4 linked regions of the Saccharomyces cerevisiae S288C genome follow. The gene in region 1 interacts genetically with each later gene. Each region holds a gene or a part of one and is shown on either strand. Other genes may lie near its edges. The genes, in order: PSK2, YGL081W, YHR127W and CTK3.

Region 1 (7,309 bases):
TTCGTAATATGGGTCAGGACCAGTGTTCTACAAACAAAGGCAGTCAAGACATTCGTTTGTAAAATCCATTGAATATGAACCAGTATCACACCAAGAGGCCCTAATAACAGTATGGCCCATGTCACTAAAAGCGGTACAAGTGTGACATAAAAGAGACCAGCAATAGTGACAAAAATCAGGGCATAGCAAACCGCAAACAGTAAAATATGCTTCCAATAAACAGGATTCGTCAGCACTTCATAAAACCCCTACGGTTAACAAATAAAAATTAAATATGTTAGTCATAAAACAAGTCATATCAATGCAAACAAAAATCATGTACTTACTAAGAATGGGTAGATAAATGCTCTTGAGTTGAAAATTTCTTTAATGAAGTTTTTTCTAAGCAGTTCGTATCTCACTTTCATTGTTGGTATCGTTTCAGGAAACCAAATATCAAACTGTCTTATGAAAATCTTTAGCCAACGACTTACGTTACTTTCCTTTGAAGAACTGTGTTCTTTGAATTGTCTTTTTAAACGTTGTGGCCCCTTTTCTGCAAGGGTCATAGAATTAGCATATGTGGCGTGAGAAGCCTGGCTGTGACTTATAAGCTCAATTCCGGCTTTCATCCTTAGTTTGTCTTTACAGCCAACCAGGGGTCCTCAGGGATATACCTTGCCCTTTTTTTCCTTTTTTTGACGTCCCTTCACCTTTCTTGAAAGTGATTTACTTTATTTAGGTTTTGAAGTTCCGAGTGTAACCACCCTGATTTTCATAAGTCCCCTGATTTCCCAAATTTTTTATGCATATACAAATGTTGAAAAGAAACGAATATTATTAGCAAGTAATATATAGTATATAGTATATATATATATTTATATATGTAAACATATAATGAATATATAAATTGGTATGTAAAAGAGTTGCGAGCTTCATGGCGGATTAATGTGAGCTATAGATTGTTGGATTGGAGGTGCATAGGATCCTACAGTAGGCTCTTCTGGTTCCGCAGGAGGGGAAGGAGGTACGGCTGGCTGGTCCCGGTCTTTTATCTCTTTAACTATCCAAAGCGAAGCACCTACTGCGTTTGTTCCAATGAACAACCCACCCAGAATGGGAATAGACTCTAATAAACCGCTGGATATCGAGTAAAGGAGCCACTTGGCAAAGCCCTTGTAGTAAACTTTGGAAAGTTTGCGCGAATCCAAATGTAGCACGTCAACAAAATAAGGCTCAAAATAGTAAAATCCCATTCCGGGGCTAAATGGTAGCATATTGATTGTAATTGGACCCACTATTGGAACGAGCAACAATAAAAGAAACATAAAGGCTATGAAGATGTACCAGAAGAAAAAAATGAAAAACTGCGGCAAAGAGACGAGGTAAAACCGTTTCGAAAAGAGGCCACCCAAACGATGTGACCTTCTGTAGACAAAGGGCGTGAAACTTATCGTTTCACAGGCTTCACTCAACTCTGTTAATCCCTTTCTTGCGAACGTCACTCCATAAATACGTGTGAAAAGAACGAAATCGGTACCCTTCACCATAGAATTACATAGCGTTGTGGAAATCAGAATAGTTTGCATATAAGCCAGAGGTAACGCAAAGAGTCCGAGAAAGGGCAAATAGATGCACACTAACAAGGACCACGCAAGGATTGACGTAAACGCAACAATAAGCAGGAGATTCAGCAGGTAGTATCCAAATATTAGGAAAAATAGATGCAAATAATCCGAGTTTCCCACGGATTCGCTAATTCCCTTCAAAGGCGGTTAGTATGACGGCTTAAAAAACATGATCTGCTTATTGGAACATCAACATACTTTATACGGATACCAGATGATCTGGTGCGACGACTCTAGGTCTTTCCAAAAATTGTCTTTAACAAGCATAGCATTCTTGTACCATCGAACTATCGGAGCCTTGTATGCCATCCAAATTTTTGATTTCTTATGGTTCCCTTGGTCTTGGATGGGGAGTAATTGTGGTTCCTCCCCTTCTGCCAGTGGCGTAGAGGCATATGGATGTCTATGGTAATACCAATCAGGTTGGGGTCTAGTCGACATGTTTGCTTGGTGTCTTAGCAGCTCTTATAGTTCTAATGCTATAACTAAGAAAGTAATAATAATAATAATAAAAAGCTTTATATAATGTTTTATTATGGAAGTTTCGTTTTTGTGGCGCGACGCGATCAGCCAAAATCAGCGGAAAAATTCGTCGGAACATTTTTTTCTTTTTTGGCCAAGCTATTGTTACAGGTGGGGCAGGGGCAAGAGACGATATGTCATCGCGAAGCTGTAAAGACACTTGTCGAAGTGATAAAGCGCAAGAGCTGTTTGTCTACGGAACCAGCAAGTACTATCTAATAGCGTGTTCCAGAGAATAACAGCATTTTTCAACTTCTTTCTCCTGGTGTGAGTAATCAGTACGTGAAAAGAGAACGAAGTTAAAAAAAAAAACAAGAAAAAGAAACAAGATCAAAAGAAACGATAAAGGCTGGCTTATAAAATAATAGCATCGCGAACGATCAATAAGGGGCCCTGTTTATTTTTAACAAAGTTTACATATTTCGTTTTCCTCTTTAAGCTGACATCACGTCTATACCCTGTTTTATTCCTTGTTAGAAACATAACGGAGCAGGTAGTAACAACAACAGTATAAACTATCATAAACTTTTTTCCTTCCTTATTGGTGACTTTTAACACTTAGAATTCTAAGTCTGGCAAGAACAGTAATCATACTTCTTTGCAGGGCGTTTTATTGTTACTCCTCTGCCCTGCTAGATTAAAGTAAAGAATCATAAACAAAGAACACAATGACATACCCGGTTAGTGCAGCCGCTCCTGCCGACATTTCATATTCTAAAAATACCCCGTTGGTAGGGCTCTCTAAACCTCCATGCTTGTACCAACACGCTTCCTCGTCCGTCGATTCGTTTTCGTCAACATTCAGTGATGATGATCGTTCGGACCTTGTTGCTGTACCTAATGAGTCGCCGCATGCATTTTCGTATAATCCCATATCACCAAACTCACTGGGAGTAAGGTTGACCATCTTAAGAAGGTCTTTGGAAATAATGGTAAACAGTCCTGACATCTTACATGAGTTGAAGAAAAAAGCACCCGTAATAGCATACCCCCCCTCACTTAGACACACAAGAAACTTAACAGAGACTGCCACGTTATCAGCATCGCGAGATCCGTTAAATGGGTCTCTAATTTCACCATTAGTATCCAATATGCCATCTCCTGCTAGTAGACCCGTGATACAGAGAGCAACGTCCTTAATGGTGTTGCCTGATAATGATACTGCCAGTAAACTGAATCCAGCCAAGTCCGAGTTAGAAAACTTGTTATTCTTGCTAAATTTAGCATTGGAAAACAATTCCTTCGAAAGAGCTTCCGATTTACACATGCTATCGTTATTGAATATCAAGAAAATAAACTTTGATTCAGACATTCAAAAATCAGAAACTTTGAAAAAGGTTTTATTAGATAGTTTAGCAGAACCATTTTTTGAAAACTACAAGAAGTTCCCTCACAAAGATTTAGGTTCGAAATCGCAATATAATGAATATGAGGAGAAACACGATGATATAGTCTCCTTAGCAGACATCAAACCACAACAGGACTATAGCCGAATTCTTCATCCTTTCACATCTGCAAAAAATTCTGGTCCAGAGGCCATTTTTACATGTTCTCAACAATACCCCTGGAACTTCAAAGCTGCCAATGATTTGGCGTGTCTAACGTTCGGTATATCAAAGAATGTTATCAAGGCACTTACTTTACTAGACCTTATTCATACGGATAGCAGAAATTTTGTTCTAGAGAAAATCATGAATGCAGAAGATGATAACCAAGAAATTGTGTTTACCGGAGAAACTATACCTATCGTCCAGCCAAATTCGACAAGCAATAATAATGTACCAAATCTGATTTGGGCTTCACTATGGGCCAAGCGGAAGAATGGCCTACTGGTCTGCGTATTTGAAAAAACGCCTTGCGATTACATTGACGTCATGTTAAACTTGAGAGATTTTTCAGTGGACAGCATTATTGATACAACACACTTTCTGGAAAACTTTGACAAGAAAAAGCAGCAAGAATCAACTTCGCCAATGACAGAAAAGAAAACGGTAAAATTTGCAAATGAAATTCACGATATTGGGTCAGTAAGTCACTCACTGAGTAAACTAATTGATGATGTACGTTTTGGAAAAGTGTTTTCTGCAGATGATGATTTATTACCCTTGTCTATCAGGGTGGCAAATCATGTCAACGAAGAGAGATATTTTACGTTGAATTGTCTATCTGAAAATATACCATGTGCTGTTACAACTTCCGTATTGGAAAACGAAATAAAATTAAAAATTCATAGTTTGCCCTATCAGGCTGGGCTATTTATTGTTGACAGTCACACTTTAAGTCTTTTAAGTTTCAACAAATCAGTCGCCAAAAACATGTTTGGCTTGCGACTTCACGAGTTGGCCGGTAGTTCGGTTACTAAGTTGGTTCCTTCTTTGGCGGACATGATATCTTATATCAATAAAACTTATCCTATGTTAAATATCACATTACCAGAAAATAAAGGATTGGTTTTAACAGAACATTTTTTCAGAAAAATTGAGGCTGAAATGCATCATGATAAGGACTCGTTTTACACTTCTATTGGTCTAGACGGCTGTCACAAAGATGGTAATTTGATAAAGGTGGATGTTCAATTACGGGTCTTGAATACGAATGCTGTATTATTATGGATTACACACTCAAGAGACGTGGTCATTGAAAATTATACCACCGTTCCTTCGCAGCTACCGATGTTAAAGGAGAACGAAATTGATGTCGTTGGCAGTAGAGGTAGTTCCAGTGCATCTTCCAAGAAATCTTCGGAAAAAATTCCTGTGAATACTTTGAAGGCAATGGCTGATCTGTCGATTAGCTCCGCTGAAACGATTTCTAATTCAGACGATGAAGTAGACTTAAATCAAGTGAATGAAAAACTACGAGAAACTTCTTGCGGTAAAGTGAGAGGTATCGAATCTAATGACAACAATAACTATGACGATGACATGACAATGGTTGATGATCCTGAGTTAAAACATAAAATTGAATTAACGAAAATGTACACGCAGGACAAATCAAAATTTGTAAAGGACGACAACTTTAAAGTGGATGAAAAATTTATAATGAGGATAATTGAACCGATAAACGGAGAAGAAATCAAAAAGGAAACAAATGAGCTAGACAAAAGAAATTCTACTTTAAAAGCTACGTACTTGACTACTCCAGAGGCTAATATAGGCTCACAAAAGCGCATAAAGAAATTTTCTGATTTTACTATTCTGCAAGTGATGGGTGAGGGTGCGTACGGTAAAGTCAATTTATGCATTCATAACAGAGAACACTATATCGTGGTCATCAAAATGATTTTCAAAGAGAGGATTTTAGTAGACACATGGGTGAGAGATAGAAAATTAGGTACTATACCTTCTGAGATCCAAATTATGGCGACCTTGAATAAAAATTCCCAAGAAAATATCTTGAAGTTATTAGATTTTTTTGAAGATGACGATTATTATTACATTGAAACACCGGTCCATGGAGAAACTGGTAGTATTGATCTATTTGATGTTATCGAATTCAAAAAAGATATGGTTGAACATGAAGCTAAACTGGTGTTTAAACAGGTAGTCGCTAGTATAAAGCATTTACATGACCAAGGAATTGTTCATAGAGACATAAAGGACGAAAATGTTATTGTTGATTCTCATGGCTTTGTAAAATTAATCGATTTCGGTTCGGCTGCCTATATCAAGAGTGGACCATTCGATGTTTTTGTGGGAACAATGGACTATGCTGCACCTGAAGTCCTTGGTGGTTCCTCTTACAAAGGTAAACCACAAGATATTTGGGCTCTTGGTGTGCTACTTTATACCATAATTTATAAAGAGAATCCTTATTACAACATTGATGAAATCTTGGAAGGTGAATTAAGGTTCGATAAATCGGAACATGTCAGTGAAGAATGCATCAGTTTGATAAAAAGAATTTTGACAAGAGAAGTTGATAAAAGACCTACTATTGATGAAATATATGAAGATAAATGGCTTAAAATCTAGTTTTCCGTACTCTCCAAGATAAAGGGAAAGAATAATTTAATCCATTTTCATAACCATTTACCTTCATAAATGTTCTATTCTTTTTTTGGCTATATATTAATTACATTTTTAATATCATATCATTGCTCTATATCCTTCTTGTCCAGCCTCTATGCAGTATTTTCTTTCATTCTATTTTGGGGCAAACTTCTGCGCTGAGCGGCTTATCGCCGTCGGAGTGACATCAAGTACCATAGAAAAGTCATCGTAGACTTACATATTTAGGCAAGAGAAATAGTTAGGTAAACAGAAAGAGGCACTAGCAGAACGTACTACGGTGTGGTTTATACAAGAGGGTTCTGTGAATAATGGCTGCAAGTGAGATAATGAACAATCTGCCTATGCATTCCCTCGATTCTTCTCTAAGGGATTTACTTAACGATGACTTATTCATTGAAAGTGATGAATCGACCAAGTCGGTAAATGATCAGAGGAGTGAAGTATTTCAAGAATGTGTGAACCTTTTCATAAAAAGAGATATCAAGGATTGCCTAGAAAAAATGTCTGAGGTTGGATTTATTGATATTACCGTTTTCAAGTCCAACCCTATGATATTAGATTTATTTGTCAGCGCCTGTGATATTATGCCCAGCTTTACCAAATTAGGTTTAACACTGCAGAGTGAGATTTTGAATATTTTCACGTTAGATACCCCTCAATGTATTGAGACAAGAAAAATTATTCTCGGTGACCTCAGTAAACTTTTGGTCATCAATAAATTCTTTCGATGCTGTATCAAGGTTATTCAGTTTAACTTAACTGATCACACCGAACAAGAAGAAAAAACTCTGGAGCTTGAATCCATAATGAGTGATTTCATTTTCGTATACATAACGAAAATGAGGACAACTATAGATGTAGTTGGCTTACAAGAATTAATCGAGATATTCATCTTTCAGGTGAAGGTAAAACTGCATCATAAAAAACCCTCACCGAATATGTATTGGGCGCTTTGCAAAACATTACCTAAGTTATCTCCAACCCTAAAGGGCCTTTACTTATCTAAAGATGTTTCCATAGAGGATGCTATTCTGAACTCAATAGATAATAAAATACAAAAAGATAAGGCGAAGTCTAAAGGTAAACAAAGAGGAGTGAAACAGAAAATACACCATTTTCACGAGCCTATGTTACACAATAGTAGTGAAGAACAGGTTAAGGTTGAGG
Region 2 (4,898 bases), on another chromosome or scaffold:
TCTAACTTGTTACTGGCCACCGACGTTGCAGCAAGAGGTTTAGATATACCAAATGTTAAGACAGTTATTAATTTAACTTTCCCATTGACTGTGGAGGATTATGTCCATAGAATCGGTAGAACTGGTAGAGCTGGTCAAACAGGCACAGCACACACTCTGTTCACTGAACAAGAAAAGCATTTGGCTGGTGGACTGGTTAACGTTTTGAATGGTGCCAATCAACCTGTTCCTGAAGATTTGATAAAGTTCGGTACTCACACTAAGAAGAAGGAACATAGCGCTTATGGTTCATTCTTTAAGGACGTCGATTTGACTAAGAAACCAAAAAAAATTACTTTCGATTAGGGGTTTTTTCGTTTACTTCAATCTTGGATTTTCTTCTCTAATAATAGCCAATCGAGAGTCGGAGATTTATTAACAAAACACTGTATATTACTATTATAACTGCCCACTTTCATTTATCATTAATATTATTTAAATTGACTCTCACATAGTATACATATTTTCTAGAAAAAAAATACGATTCAGTATATCAGCAGTCATGGTCTTCATTCAATCTGCGCTCAAGAATTTTTTCTCTTGCCTGATTAAACTCTATGGGGAAATCGACACGCAAAGCAGCGTTTAAATAGTCGATGTTCTTTCTTGAAGTTTCTAAATCACGTTTTATTTTTTTTGAAGTAGCCTCACCATTTTCAAACTTCTCTTGCAGTTGAGTGAGCCTGCTCTTCATTTCATCAATATATTGTTTAAGCTCTAGGCTTTTCGAATTTATAACAGCGGAGGTTTTGGTCTGTAGAGAAAGTGCCTCTGAGAAATCAGCAGAATCAATAGATTGTTTTAGAGAATCAAAAATATATCTAGAAACGTCAAATATTGGACCAGGATCCTGGGCATCCGTGGGTAGCAAATTGCTTGACTGAGGGATATCGTTATCTAGGAACAAATCTTCGTCAACGTTAGATTCATTGTCCATTTCATTTTGCTCCACAACATCTGAAACGTTACTTCCATCACTATCGAAGCTACCACTTGAGTTGCTAGTGGTGCTGATCGAATCATGGAAAGAGCTGGACATTTCCTCTGTTATAGGAATCGCGTAGGATTGAGAATTAATACTGGGTGTTGAAGAATGAACAGCCGAAAAAGTCTCTTCATCATCATTTTCCTCCGATATTCCGGTCACCATTGTTCTTCACTAAGTGTTGGTAACCATTATTTTGCCTCTCTTATTATTTTACTATAATATAGCTGCGACTTTTCAGTGAAAAACGTTCTTTTTTAACTTTTTGAATGGCTGAATATAATCAGTAATACAAAGGAGATGAGAGGGAAATTGTCTTGGATATAAAAGAAATATTTGAATAAAGACATAATAATTATTTAGGTTATTTAGAATATGTCATCTTATGTAGTTTGGTTCAATACTAACTACTAAATAAAATGAAACTCATAGAGATAATGGTTCTATAGCATGCATATATGAAAAGGAGAAGAGGTAAAAATGAGAGAATATGCATGAACATATCCATCCTCTTAATCCTTGCTTGTTCTTTTTTATGTTTCCATCTAGTCACCTACTTCAGGTTCTTAGACTGCTCGTTTTACTGTTTACCAGTTTTTTCTTTCTCTTTCCATTCCTTATCTAGAGCTTTCTTCTCCTCATCTGTTGTGAAATACGTGTATTTGAGAAACCTATAGCCTTGAGCTAATTGCGCAGTTTCATTAATAAGGTGGCATCCAAACAGTAAGTAGTTTTTGGGTGATACTGAAAGAGCATACTTCATGAAAACACCTGAATAGGTAACTAAAGCAAAAGTCATTGGGCCAGAGATTAGTGTAGGGTCTTTTTTCAGATCATATATAGCAGCAATTGGGATACCGAAATTTGATACGGGACCCCAGAAGTGTGTTGTGAAAATATATTTCAAAGTTTCTTTATTGATGTATTTTTGAAGGAATGAGCGTGCTGCAGCGCGTTGAACCGGTTGAGACATTCTTTTTGATCACAGTGCAATAAAATCTATACGTATATATGTAGATGTATTGACGTTTGCTGATTGGCAAGTGAGTGTTTAAATAGATTATCGGTGGAGAAAGGTGGAGACCGCAGGTTGTAGTGGCTATTCCTTCTTTGCCAGAAAGCACTTGTCATTTCGCCTCGGTTAAAGCGGGGGGCCGTCGCAAAAGAGAACTTTACAGGCCACGTCCAGAGCAAAAAACTCCACTTATTTGACTAGCCATGAAGCTATAATACCACCCAGCAATATAGAACTGGGTTATAAAATTATATTTAATTCGATAGTAGGCGGTCAAAAATCAAGATTACTATTAGTAGTAACCACATACTATTGGAGTGCTGAGGGGTAATAATTTTCTTGTTTTTCGAGAAGCAAGTAAGCGTCTTCTTTATCTTCGTCCTGCCCTTTATTCTTTTTACTCTAATAATTTCAAGTTCTATTTCTCCTTCCTCATCATCCCCTTCTTCTTTTTCTTCTTCTTCTTCTTTTTCTTCTGTGGTGTCTGTGTCAGTGCAAACTTCGATTTCTTCTTCGAAAGAACTCGTTTCATGTATTTTTCTATCAAAGTTACTGCAGATCTTCTGGTCTTGCTTGCTGCCTCTTTTTCTCAACGAAAGGATAGAAAACCTACCACCTCGAGTCAATATGGTGTTCGTTTCATGACACTCATCTGCAACTTCCGTTTGCGTACTCGCTTCCGACAATCCGTACCAACTTGAATCGCTATCTTCTGTGGATGTTGCAGAATGAATAGGGAAAGATGACACTGTATTATTCTTTCCAAATGTTACATTTGTAATAGTGCACTTTACGATTTCCCTTGCTTCATCGAAATACTCAAGTTCAATTCGGAAAATTAACTTGGCGGCTAAATGATGGTTGTCGCGAAAAGGATGATTATCAATTGCAATCAAACCAAAAGCATCACCATTTTTCAAATCAATTTCATCATTTGGCCCATCAGACACTAAGTTTACTGTACCAGTCTTGTTATTCAAATCCCGAATGCAGATGCGGAGTTGTTCTATAGAGGGAACTCCTTCAATTTTGGGTATTGGTGTCTTTATACATAGGACAGCATGCTGTCTGCTTAGTTCTGGCTCATCAAAATATAGATTGTACGGCTTACATAGACTATTTTGATCAAATGAACTCGAACGGCCAATGGTTTTACACAAACCTTGTGTTGTTTCCGTATCTTCTATAGCGAAAACAAAAGTTCTTATATCACCCATGATTTCCCCAGTTCCTTCCCTCAGTTTCAACTTTATGCAACTGCCTAGTGATTATTTTTTTTTCAAGTAATTTGTAAAACTCAATACTATGAGCCACTTTGATTGCTTTAGTATTCTGTGAAGATATCCCAAAAATGTTAATTTCCGCTGTAGTGCATTATTCGGGGCTTCTTGAGCCGTTTTGTTTGGACAAATTTAGGAGAAGGAATCTGTAAAAAAAAATAAATCATTGGTATTATCAGGTTATATATCACAAATAGGCCAGTTGAACGCCATGAAGGAGTAAAATATACATTTACAAAATTAAAAAGTGGTAGAGTTAAAAATAAGCGCTAGCGTGGTGACACCCACAAAAAAAATAATTCTATAAGAAAGATACAAAAGACGAAAAAGAAATCATGGTTTCACATAATTACACAGTTTTTTTTCAACTTGTCTCTTTTCTTTTCTTTATTACTCCCATTAAAGGGAAGGAACTTGTTTTTCTTTGAATTTTTTTCAGGTCTTTCAAACCTTTCCCTTTGATGATTTCTACCGTTATTAGCATAACCATTTTGCATGTTATTTGCCGCACGCATATCTTCTTGTTCCTGTAACCTCCTAGCTAGTTCCTCATCATCTTCGATTTGTTGAACACCGCTTGCTCCACTATTAACTTGGTTGCTAGTTACATGCCCTGTATTCTGGTCACTGAATGGGTTAGAAATGTAGGACTCATTTTGCCCGGTAGCAGTAGTTTCTGTTCTTTCCAGACTTGTGGGAATGAAGTTGCCCGTGTAGTAAGAATCCTGCGATCCATTCACGGATTTAAGCGACTGCCAGTTTATGTCCTTGCGATTTCTGTAAGTAGGATCCGTGACCAAAGTAAACAATTCGCCATTGTTTTTATATAATGTGCAAAAGTGATCATTTCTAAAAAGCACGGCATACGATCTTTCTACTAAAATTTCTCTGAGATGAGTTAGACCATATTCAGTCAATTGTGTGGCAGATCTTGCCAGAAACGATTTTAAGTAAGGTGCATCAGATTGGATTTGCTCGCTGTTTTCAAATTGGGCATTATTCTTTTGGATCTCATACGACTGTACCAAAACTTTTTGCGCGCCCATATAAGAATATTTGGACACATGTTCGTAAGAGTTCGGATCATTGTCCCCATCTATTATCCATCCATGAACGATGCCGACATTGTAGAGCCTGAAAATCGACATTTCTACGCCGTCCTCAAAAGATCCGTTAAATTCTGGGTTGATGTTCAATCCGCTATATAATTGTGGTAGGATTTGGAGTAGCTGTTGTTTGTCCACATCTGTACCATTCGGATTTTGAACGCCCATGTCGGCTAGAGTTTGCACAAGTTCGTTTAAAGTAACAGTTTCCTTGCCTCTCACTAGTCTGGAAATTTCTTGGGCATAGCGAGCATGGGCAGGTGATATCAATAATACGTTAGCTAGTGCAATTAGCGCGCATTCACCTTGCCCATTTTGAAGTAATATTTTAAACTGAGTGCCATTTATTTGAACATTTTTGGTTAGAAATGTAACATCCATATTGGCTAATTCCTGTGAACGATTGTATACGGACTGAAAAATTGCCCCAGTCTTGATTTTAGCAAATTTGGTTTTGTTTGCTTCCTCTGTAC
Region 3 (4,654 bases), on another chromosome or scaffold:
TGAACCTTCAAGATGGTGTTCGGGTGTGATTTATTTAAACACAGTAGTATCTGTCACCAAAGTCACCCAACCCTGGAACTAGATACTTGTTTTCATCTAGACCTCTGTCGAGGGCACCAGTAACAATTCTGACCTCTGGGAAGGCGGCATGGTATTTTTCAATCCCTTCCTTACTACAGATTAGGTTTAAGAAGTAAATTCTCTCTGGCTTAACACCTCTCTTAATCAAGACTTCTGTAGCCATGATAGCACTACCACCGGTGGCCAGCATTGGGTCTAATAGGAAGACATACCTTTCAGATATATCCTCTGGTAATTTTTCGTAGAATAACTTTGGTAAAGCAGTCTCCTCGTCCCTTTGAATTAAAATTTTACCGATACGCACAGACCTACAACAGTCTCTTAATCCTTGCTCCATCGATTCACCAGCTCTGACAATGGAAACACCACAGATTTTACCCATGAATGAGACACCTTCGAAGTTTTCGTTGGTGTCAGTTTCCACAATTTGCTTTTGCACAGGTAGATGGTTCAAACCTTCTTCAACCAACAATCTGATGATTCTATCGGAGTAGAAAATGAAATCAGGTCTAGTTGTATTCTTATTTCTGATGATGGTGTACAAACCCAGCAATTGGTTTGTTTGAGGTAGCAAGTAGACGTTCTTAAATGGTTCCGAAGACATTTTTTGCAGATTTCTAGGTTTGCTAACGAAAGACCCTTTGTTTGGATAATATATAAGATATGTAAGGTACAAGAATGGAGAAGCCAAAAAGAATAACGGGTTCATGGTTCAAGAAGAAATGAAGCTAGTATTGGAAGAGGATTCTTACCAATATATATATCTCTTTTGAGGCAGCTTTGAAAGAAGAAGTGAAAAAAAAAAAAATTTTGAAAAAAAAGACGGAAAGGGAAAAGTCCGCCGGAGATAATTACAACTGTCGATTTTTTATGCGATGAGATAAGCTTATAGAAAAACCGGCCTTTCTGTTATTGCAATGACCTGCTTTATAGTTTATGAAATAATTACATAGGTCGATTACTAGTAGAATGAGGTATTGTTATTAGGCAGTCATGAGAAAGCATGTCTTCAAAAAAATAGTTTGTGGCGGGGATTTTGCTGATTAAATACCTTGTGAGTGTCGTTGACAAACTCTAATACGACAAGTGGGACGATTCATCAGATGCAATCACCACTTGGATGCGCCTTCCATCAACTAGAGCGCCATGGAACAGTTTTCTTACCTTCTCCAAAGACTGTGTTGTAGGATATGCCAGACGGACCTTAGCGGTGGCAGATCCTGAAGGCAGGTCTCTAACCCTAATTTGAGCTATCTGCACCTGAGAAATGTTTTCCAGAACATTTTTCAAGTTTTCTTGGTTTACTCCCAAAGTTAGGTTGAATAGCATTAACAATTTATCTGAAGCATCTGAATTTGTAGATATCACAAGCTGGCTGCCACCTTGTATTTCTTCGCCAAAATGTTGTCGCTGCAATTTAATATTAGTGGTAAAATTCCGAGAGTTCTTGGCCCTGTTCATGCCGTTTGCTTTTTCGCTCTGCCAATCGGTTCCTCTGTGGGCATTGCCCCAGTCAGGACTGCTGTTTATGTCTTTGTGGGGCCTATTATTCTTTATTCCCTTTTTCCTATTTCTTTGGGAAACATTAGTTCTTTTATCGATAGCACCCTGTGCTTCTCTTAACAGTACACCGACGTCATTGCTGCTTACTAGCTTACCGTTGACAACGCTAAATCCTTCTTTAGTGTGTTCTACGGTTTTTTTTTTCGCTACGCCAACTTTTTTAATCTTGTCCATGGGAACCACTCTGTCTATTAAGCGTTTACTTTGAACATTTTTCTTGGAGGTTGTTCTATTTCTAGCCATTTTGTGCTCTGATAGATATTTCTGCCTGCTCCAATCTAAGACATTGTATATTTTGAGGTTACTATGATCTCTAATCAATTCACGGTGTGTATCTTCTAAAAAATCTATGGATGGACCTTTTTTTTTTTCGCGTTGGCCCTGAAAGTTCCCTTACCCGGTTGCTTTTCCTGACAAATTTCTGTAATGACAGTAAATGAGGATGAAAAGTAGACTTTGGATACAATATCACTGCAGATTCGGCAAACTGAGGTGTTGATGTAAGTTGTTCTCACCGTGAATACTACCTCATCAATATGTATTGGGTAAGTGCAGCTCTTTTTTCTACCGTAATATTTCTTTGTATGGTAAAGTCTCGAACACTTTTCCTTTCCTTTTTTTTTATATTTCTTTTTATGCTAACTAATTTTTCTCTCTTCGAAAATCCAAAAAGAAAGTTTCAGTCGTACCTGGTACCTTGAGTCGCGATTCTTCGTAGTACAAATTATAAATCTAGACCCCACTTTGATTACTTTTGATGCCAAACGTTTCTTTTGACCTCTTTCCTTTTTACTAGCATTTGTAAAAATATCCATGTTTTTGTAGCTCGAGGAATACTATATAAAGGTGAACCTCCTCCTCAAAAATAGCCAACATTAACTTCAATACTTCATGTAATTTAATTTTTATAATCTGTTCAGTCAGCATATAAAAAATATAGAACAGAATCAAACGAACATCATAATTAATCTACCATGAAGTGCACTTTAGTTTCCACATTGTTTGCCATCACCAATATTCTAGTTGCACATGCACAAGTAAGCAACTCCTCAGACACGTTGGACGTACAATTTGCGAATAGTACGAACTCGTACATAGAAGGAAAATTTAATTCGACTGATGAAGCCTTCAACAGCAGCGCATCTTGGTCCTTAGCAGCTCAGCAGAAAAAGATATCTAATGCAGCTGTATATGATGTGGGTGGTTGGAATGGCTCATTGTATCGTTCCAATAGAAGCGCTGTTGCAGATCATCAACCCGGCAAAAAGCAAGATGCCGCTATTTCACAGATCAGTGATGGTCAAATCCAAGCCACTGCGTCTGGACCTGAGACTACCGCTGCTACTACCCCAAGTAGTACCGCAAATGTCTCTGTCTATGAAGGTGCTGGTATGAAGGTTGAATCCAAGAACATGGGTTATATAGTTGGAGTAGCAGCGCTATTATTTTTATAATTTGGCCTCCAAATGTAAAAATTGTACAATTAAGGACAATAGTATTTTCATTTTATAAAAAATATGTACATGTTAGAATTTTATAAGCCGAAAAAGCAGTCATTTTACCAGTTGTTTTATTCTTATCAGATGTCATATTCATGAAAACATAACACTGGCCTACACATTACACTGATTTTGTTCTTTAGGACAAGAAGTTTTCCAGAAAGAGTTTGCTGTCATTCACCACCAGTATATTATCATATACAGTATAAGGAGATGACATGAGTCGTGAGAAGTAGTCAGCGAACTTTATGAGAGCTCAAATACAAGGATTGGTAAAGCAATAGTAAGAATTGAGTAAAATTATTACACAACAGTTGGGATTTCGTTGTTGTGAAAGGTTATAATATTAGGTTTTCAAAAATATATTAAAAGCCACCCTCGAAGATACAATAATTCCAAAAAGGGTATCGATACTTTTACACAATATTATTCTATTACACTACTAGTCCTTGCGTTTCAGCTTCCTTTATTTTTGATGACTTTTTTTCAATCTTTACGTAATGTTCTTACACACCATGTGATAATACACTACTAATGTGACTACTAGTTGACGGATGATGATGTTCCTTATTACAGCAGTGTCAAGCCAAATGCATACATCGTATATTAATGTGCGCCACGTTTGACGTTTAAGTGTCACTGTGCTATTATAGAATAAAGAAAATGTTAGCGAGTATTTCATACAGTACTGAAGCCGAATTGAAGATAATTGAACGTTGCTGTGATAATTATTCATAGAAATATTACAGAGGATCGTATTAAATGTTTGGCAACTACCAATCATTATTGCATTGATCATAATCAATAATGAATGACAAATATAAGATGGGGAAGAAGTAATGATAATATTATGTAGAAATATCGATTCCCTTTTGTGAACTTCAAGATCTCCGAAGAGAACTTCTAGTATACTCTGTATACATAATATTGTAACATTGATTAACAATTGAATCTCAAAATTATCAAATTATTCACCCAATCTTCATTATTCACCAAATATTCCCAACTATCAGTAGTTCTTCTGGCAACTAATAAAATACTTAACCTATTCTATGTAGATATGAAGGGAACTGATAACAAATAGTAAGCGGATTTAGCTCAGTTGGGAGAGCGCCAGACTGAAGAAAAAACTTCGGTCAAGTTATCTGGAGGTCCTGTGTTCGATCCACAGAATTCGCATATTTTTTTAACGATTTAAAATCATTAGTTTATTTAATACTTATAGAAACTATCTTCCTCAAACAATTCTTCCCTATTAAATATACCAGATGGTAGAGTACCGCTTGCAATCAACTTGACCCCTTTCGAATATACCCTATCTGCATTTTCTGCATCCATTTTTTGATAATAATTTTGAAACGAACCTGTTTCTAATATTCTTGAAAATGTCCTTGGCACATCCTCTTCCGTAGCTGGGAAAAGTGCAGTTTCCAAGTGAAAATTTTCTGCTGAGTTAGGTAGTATAGAGAAAGAAATATTTGAAAGGGAGAGTTCGTTACCATAGCTTGTTT
Region 4 (4,851 bases), on another chromosome or scaffold:
TGATGCAGTTTTCGTTATTCTTATATCAATTTCGATAGGAGTGGATAACTTGGGTAAGGTGTATAACTTGTCTATAAAAATGTTATCCGAGTCGTTTAGATCATCTTCGAACGGTATTTGACTGATATTGGTGTCTGATGAAGAATGGAGCGACTGTCCACCACTTCTTGTACTGTTTATTGTAAGATGTTGTGTTTGTAGAGGATGTAGGTTGGTAAGAGAATGGGCAGTCGCATTATTACATGCGTTTTCGGATCCTGGCACTGCTGTCAATTGTGACCTTTCCACGGAATTATCATTGCTGGGCAATATAGTCATTCTTTGAGTGCGAACTTCTTGATAAGAAGGGGGGAAATCATGTCTATCGGGATCAACGTTTCCTTGAGGTATGTGTCTGTGCAAGGCATTATACATCTCAAAAGATGGTAGGACATCCACTAGCATATTTGCTCTATGAGATAATCTTGACTGTGTGCAGTCCATTTCCAGTGAATTTTCCTCTCGTTCTTGTCGTAAACGGTCTAAATTGGTTGTTGAAGCGCTGCGTATGTCATCGTCCTGGCTGTCACTTGCACGTGGAGTCTGCCCACTATTTGGATGCAGCGAATTATCTGTAGAATTACTTGACAGCTGCTGTTGACGCCGCTTCCTCAATAGATGAATGTTATCTTCCGTAGAAACTGATTTTAAAGGAGGTCTCCCATTTTTCCTTGATGAAGTGGAGAATGTAAAAGTCATTAATACTTCTTTTGTTCCCCAGAATATATCTCAAATCTGCTGCTTCAGTTGCAAAGTCCTTGGCCAAAACGGGTAAGAAGTTGAGATTCTTGTCGAGAAATCCTACAGAAACAGAAATCAATTATTGGTAAGTTATGCACAAAATGATAATTGCAATATTTGCTTTACGCATATCTGTTGGACGATTTCAGAAATTTTTCTTAATTGGTAACGGCAGATAAAAAATAAAAATCACCAAAAGAGAAATGCAAAGAGCCTAGACTACCAGGAACAGGGCGAGCAATGGCGGGGCGACTATAAATATACGAACAGGAAAAGGCGAAAAACCGGTGCCGTATATACATAAAAAAATGATAACGCTTCAACGTGCAAAGGAACCGTCACACATTTTTGATGTGAAAGAAGTAATATTCTTGGCACTTTTCTATCGTGGACCTCTCTGTGAACGAATGCTCTTCCTCTGCTCAGTCCTTTCCAGCTTGTAACTAGACAAATTCCCCGCGGTTCTTTATGATCTTTAAGCTCGAACCACAAGGCAACAATGAACCTTCTCAAATTTTAAATTCGCTTATGTAGCAACCATATCAGCCCGAATGTAAATTCATTTGTGTAGAAATGCGGCGTAAAACCATCGAATGAAGGGAGTAGTCTAACATGGTATTTTCCTTGGCTTGTTTTAAGTCTCGTCAAACTCCTCTTTTGTGTGTTTTCAGCAATAGGCTACGGCCAGGTCCACAGAAATTGACTGTTTTATACTCAACAACACACTCTGCAAACCGTGTTAAGTTTATTCGTCTGCACATGTTGAGGACTACAATAAAAGTAACTTAGAGGAAAATTAGCCGCCGTTTCACCTTGAATAGTTTGCTTTTCCTGAAATCGAGATAAGAAAAAGACAAGTTCATTTTGTACGCGCATTGATACGTATATACGTATATATAATACAGATACGGATTCTCTTCACAGATATATATATAACGTCATGGTACTAATATATGTAAGATGCCTTCGCAATGTCATTTAAAGCCTTGATATTTTTGTAATCGTCCTTATCAAATCCGGAATCAGTAGTTTCAAAATGCGTCCACAAGCTTTTAAATTCGGATTCATCCAGTATATCGTTGGAGGGCCTTTCGATGTACCAACTTGTCTCTTTCGACCTCTTGTGCAGTTCCCTGTCTGCTTCCATCCTGTGCAACAAAATGTTTGCATTGGTTGGCTGCGTCTGTAAGTCCGGGTTGATCGCAGTTGTATCGGAATTGAACTGCTGAAAGAAAGCCAATTTCTTCAAGTCTCTGTCCTTAAGCAGAGACTCCGTTCGTTGCAATGATTCTTTATAGTCCTTTGTAGTCCTCTCTGTCTTGACACTGTACCAGGTAGTAGCGTCTATGAGTGTGGTGTCTGATGGTGTGTGCGTGACGCTGGTGGCGTCGTAATGGATTAGTTTGGATAAGTCAAGGAATAGCTCTTTACAGGTGGCTTGATTCGTGAGGGATTTCCAGTCCTGGCAGGGCAGACAAAGCTCAAAAACCAAGTCTATGTCCATGAGTAGCACTTCGTTTAACACTTTTGTAACATTGGTATTGGAATGGCTATGCGGATATAAGTTTCTTATTATTCTAACATAGTATATCACTACGTCCAGTCTATCTAGTGGGTCCATCTTCATGGTTGTATCGAACAAACATTGGTGGAAGTCCTCGTAGTGATGTCTGTAGTTTCTCAAGTAGAACTGTATAGGGTCATTGTTCAGCTTTTGTTGCGATGACGGTGGTGTGGTGGTCGACGATGATGTGATAGAGTCTCTGGTCTTGTGCAGCGTCTTTTGCAGGTTCTTCAGGACCTGAATGAATTGTAATCTAGCTTCAAGAGAGTCCATCCTTGCTGTATACCTTTACCTGGCAGTGCTTTTGTGAGAAATTAACTACCATCTGGTATTCTTTTTCCTTTTCTTTCTAAAATTCTAGTTTTTCATGTTGTGCTTAATTAGGAAAAACAGTGAATTTGAACAGTTGCTGAAGTTGAGATCAGTCTTAAATATACATTGCTCAAAGAAGTACAAATACATATAAATATAAATATCTATGGTTTTCTCAACTAGTTATTATGTGGCATATACGAATGTTTTAGTGGTATGCTGGAAATGAATGTCATATGGTTGCGTTTTTCTCTGTAGAATCGGAATTCTTAGTGATATGTGCTGCCGGCGATGGTTGCGTCCGTGGCTGATTTGATGCTGCTGTGCTTGTGGACAGATCAAGATATGGTTTCACAATGAAAGGCCGCTGTAAGTAGTTGTAGGGCCCCATCAGGAAAGAAGATGACGGGTCTTGATTGCTCCCATTTATAGTAAAGTTCATGTTCACGTTCACGTTGCTGTTAAGGTTGTGGTTTGAATTATGATTAATGCTGTGGTCGGCGTTGTAATTTGAATTCACGTGGCCGCCAGAGTTTCCCGTTGAAGATAACAGGATCTTGTGGGTGATGAACGGCTTGGGCGGAACGACGTCCACTCTCTGTTGCTGTAGTAGTTGTTGCTGCTGCTGCTGCTGCTGTTGTTGTTGTTGATCCATGAATGACTGATGGGTATAATCCAGAGATGGAGGCAATGAAGTTGACGCCGCTGCTGCATGCGGCGGTGGTGCTGCTGATGAATTATGAGCTGAGTGAGACGACGGGCTGTGCGTCAACTCTCTCAGTGCGTCCACAGCTTCCATGTCCCTGGAACTAATAAGACGCGACTCCTGATCTTGCTGAGACCCGTCGGTCTCTTTACCCCCAGTATCTTGCCTCCTCCTCCTACCACTGCCAGGCTTTCTTCCCTCTCTCAACGTCTTCCCTTTTCCGGGCTTTCTGCCGCTTCCAGGTTTCCTTCCTTGTGCCAAAGTTTTCGCCATCACCCAATGTCCTGCTCCAATATACTTTAGGACAGTTTGTAGATTCACAAGGTGATCTGTTCAAAAACTCCACTGACAATAATAGAAATTTTTTTTTTTTCATTTTCTTTCAAAACTCATCACCAAAAAAAAAAAATTGATGCATTAGCATCGGCTTCATAAACGAAAAAAAAAAAAAGAAGTTGAAAAGAAAACATGATATAAATAGTTGCAAACTAAAGTAAGATAACTGAAGATGATTAGTCCTGTTTGCATACATAGTTCTGTTCTTGTTCTACGCTGATGCGATCAATAAAGTCGCTTGAAACGCGACTGGTAGAAGCCAGCTTAAGCACAAATGGTGTATATGGGAGTGTTACCCGATGCTTTTATGTAGAAAATCTTGAACTCTTTAAAAAAGAGAGTAAAAGCAATGGAGAGAGAGGCAAGCAAGCAAACAAACGTGTAATTGAGGGACTCATAAAGGGCAATGACTTCCAAAACGTCAGAAAGTGGTACCGGTACCCAAAGTACCATAGTTCAGCTGAGGAACCTACCGGATTTGACGGAAATTAGTCACTTGGAAATAGATGCTCCCGTAGTTGAAATTCTAAAGAAAACAGTACTTTTCCAGTTGAATTCGTTGAACATCTGCATTTCAAACTTTGCATTGGATGAGCTGGTCAACCTCGTGACCGTCCAAATGGACGGCATGTTTCGGAACCTGCACAATTTAACACTTTTACAAAGAAGGTCGCAAGCTTCTCAAGCAGATTTGAAATTGTTGCTTCGAGAGTTTAACCTGGATGCGCCCTCCCTTTATCAGCAGTTTCAGGCCTCAGAATTCATCAAATCGAAGCATTCCACGGAATATGAAAAATTGATGAGCTGGTCGTCTCTTGCTGCTTTACCGCATAACGAAGAAGATGAAGAGGACGAATTGAATAATATCGAGGAGCAACAGAACGAGATCAACGTTTTGCTGCCTCCCTCTAACCCACTGGAAAAACAGATACCGAGTTGGCTGCCCAACTTTCCGCCTGACCATACCTATAAGTTTACACCTGAGTTCAACCATCCAATTACTGATCTAAAAACCATCAAGAAAGAAATAGTAAAAGAAAGCCAAGAGTCTGAAAAGGCACTATTGAACTTGAACAAAAGTCTCTCCCACATATCATCAGCGTCAAATACCCCGCAACCGCCGGGTTTAGACGATGAGGACGCTATCGAGCAA

The links.
Region 2: mutations in PSK2 (region 1) and YGL081W together harm fitness more than expected from each alone (negative genetic interaction), as found in Saccharomyces cerevisiae (3 studies listed by BioGRID).
Region 3: mutations in PSK2 (region 1) and YHR127W together harm fitness more than expected from each alone (negative genetic interaction), as found in Saccharomyces cerevisiae (3 studies listed by BioGRID).
Region 4: mutations in PSK2 (region 1) and CTK3 together harm fitness more than expected from each alone (negative genetic interaction), as found in Saccharomyces cerevisiae (3 studies listed by BioGRID).

The regions. Positions count from the first base shown.
Region 1 is NC_001147.6:240,700-248,008, forward strand, and holds PSK2 (serine/threonine protein kinase PSK2), read left to right. Parts: upstream 1-2,797; coding exon 2,798-6,103; downstream 6,104-7,309. Other genes in the region: RRT8 (Rrt8p), read right to left, coding at 1-248, 327-611; LDS2 (Lds2p), read right to left, coding at 915-1,742, 1,806-2,048; PEX15 (Pex15p), read left to right, coding at 6,451-7,309. UniProt on the Saccharomyces cerevisiae protein: Serine/threonine-protein kinase involved in the control of sugar metabolism and translation. Phosphorylates UGP1, which is required for normal glycogen and beta-(1,6)-glucan synthesis.
Region 2 is NC_001139.9:355,735-360,632, reverse strand, and holds YGL081W (uncharacterized protein), read right to left. Parts: upstream 3,257-4,898; coding exon 2,294-3,256; downstream 1-2,293. Other genes in the region: RNA-dependent ATPase DBP3, read left to right, coding at 1-345; KXD1 (Kxd1p), read right to left, coding at 533-1,189; pyruvate transporter MPC1, read right to left, coding at 1,605-1,997; MIY3 (Miy3p), read right to left, coding at 3,661-4,806.
Region 3 is NC_001140.6:358,146-362,799, reverse strand, and holds YHR127W (uncharacterized protein), read right to left. Parts: upstream 1,888-4,654; coding exon 1,156-1,887; downstream 1-1,155. Other genes in the region: FUR1 (uracil phosphoribosyltransferase), read right to left, coding at 35-685; ANS1 (Ans1p), read left to right, coding at 2,619-3,098; YHR125W (uncharacterized protein), read right to left, coding at 3,637-3,942; transcription factor NDT80, read right to left, coding at 4,356-4,654.
Region 4 is NC_001145.3:42,829-47,679, reverse strand, and holds CTK3 (Ctk3p), read right to left. Parts: upstream 2,618-4,851; coding exon 1,727-2,617; downstream 1-1,726. Other genes in the region: ubiquitin-ubiquitin ligase BUL2, read right to left, coding at 1-738; DAT1 (Dat1p), read right to left, coding at 2,889-3,635; TAF8 (Taf8p), read left to right, coding at 4,105-4,851. UniProt on the Saccharomyces cerevisiae protein: Gamma subunit of the CTDK-I complex, which hyperphosphorylates the C-terminal heptapeptide repeat domain (CTD) of the largest RNA polymerase II subunit.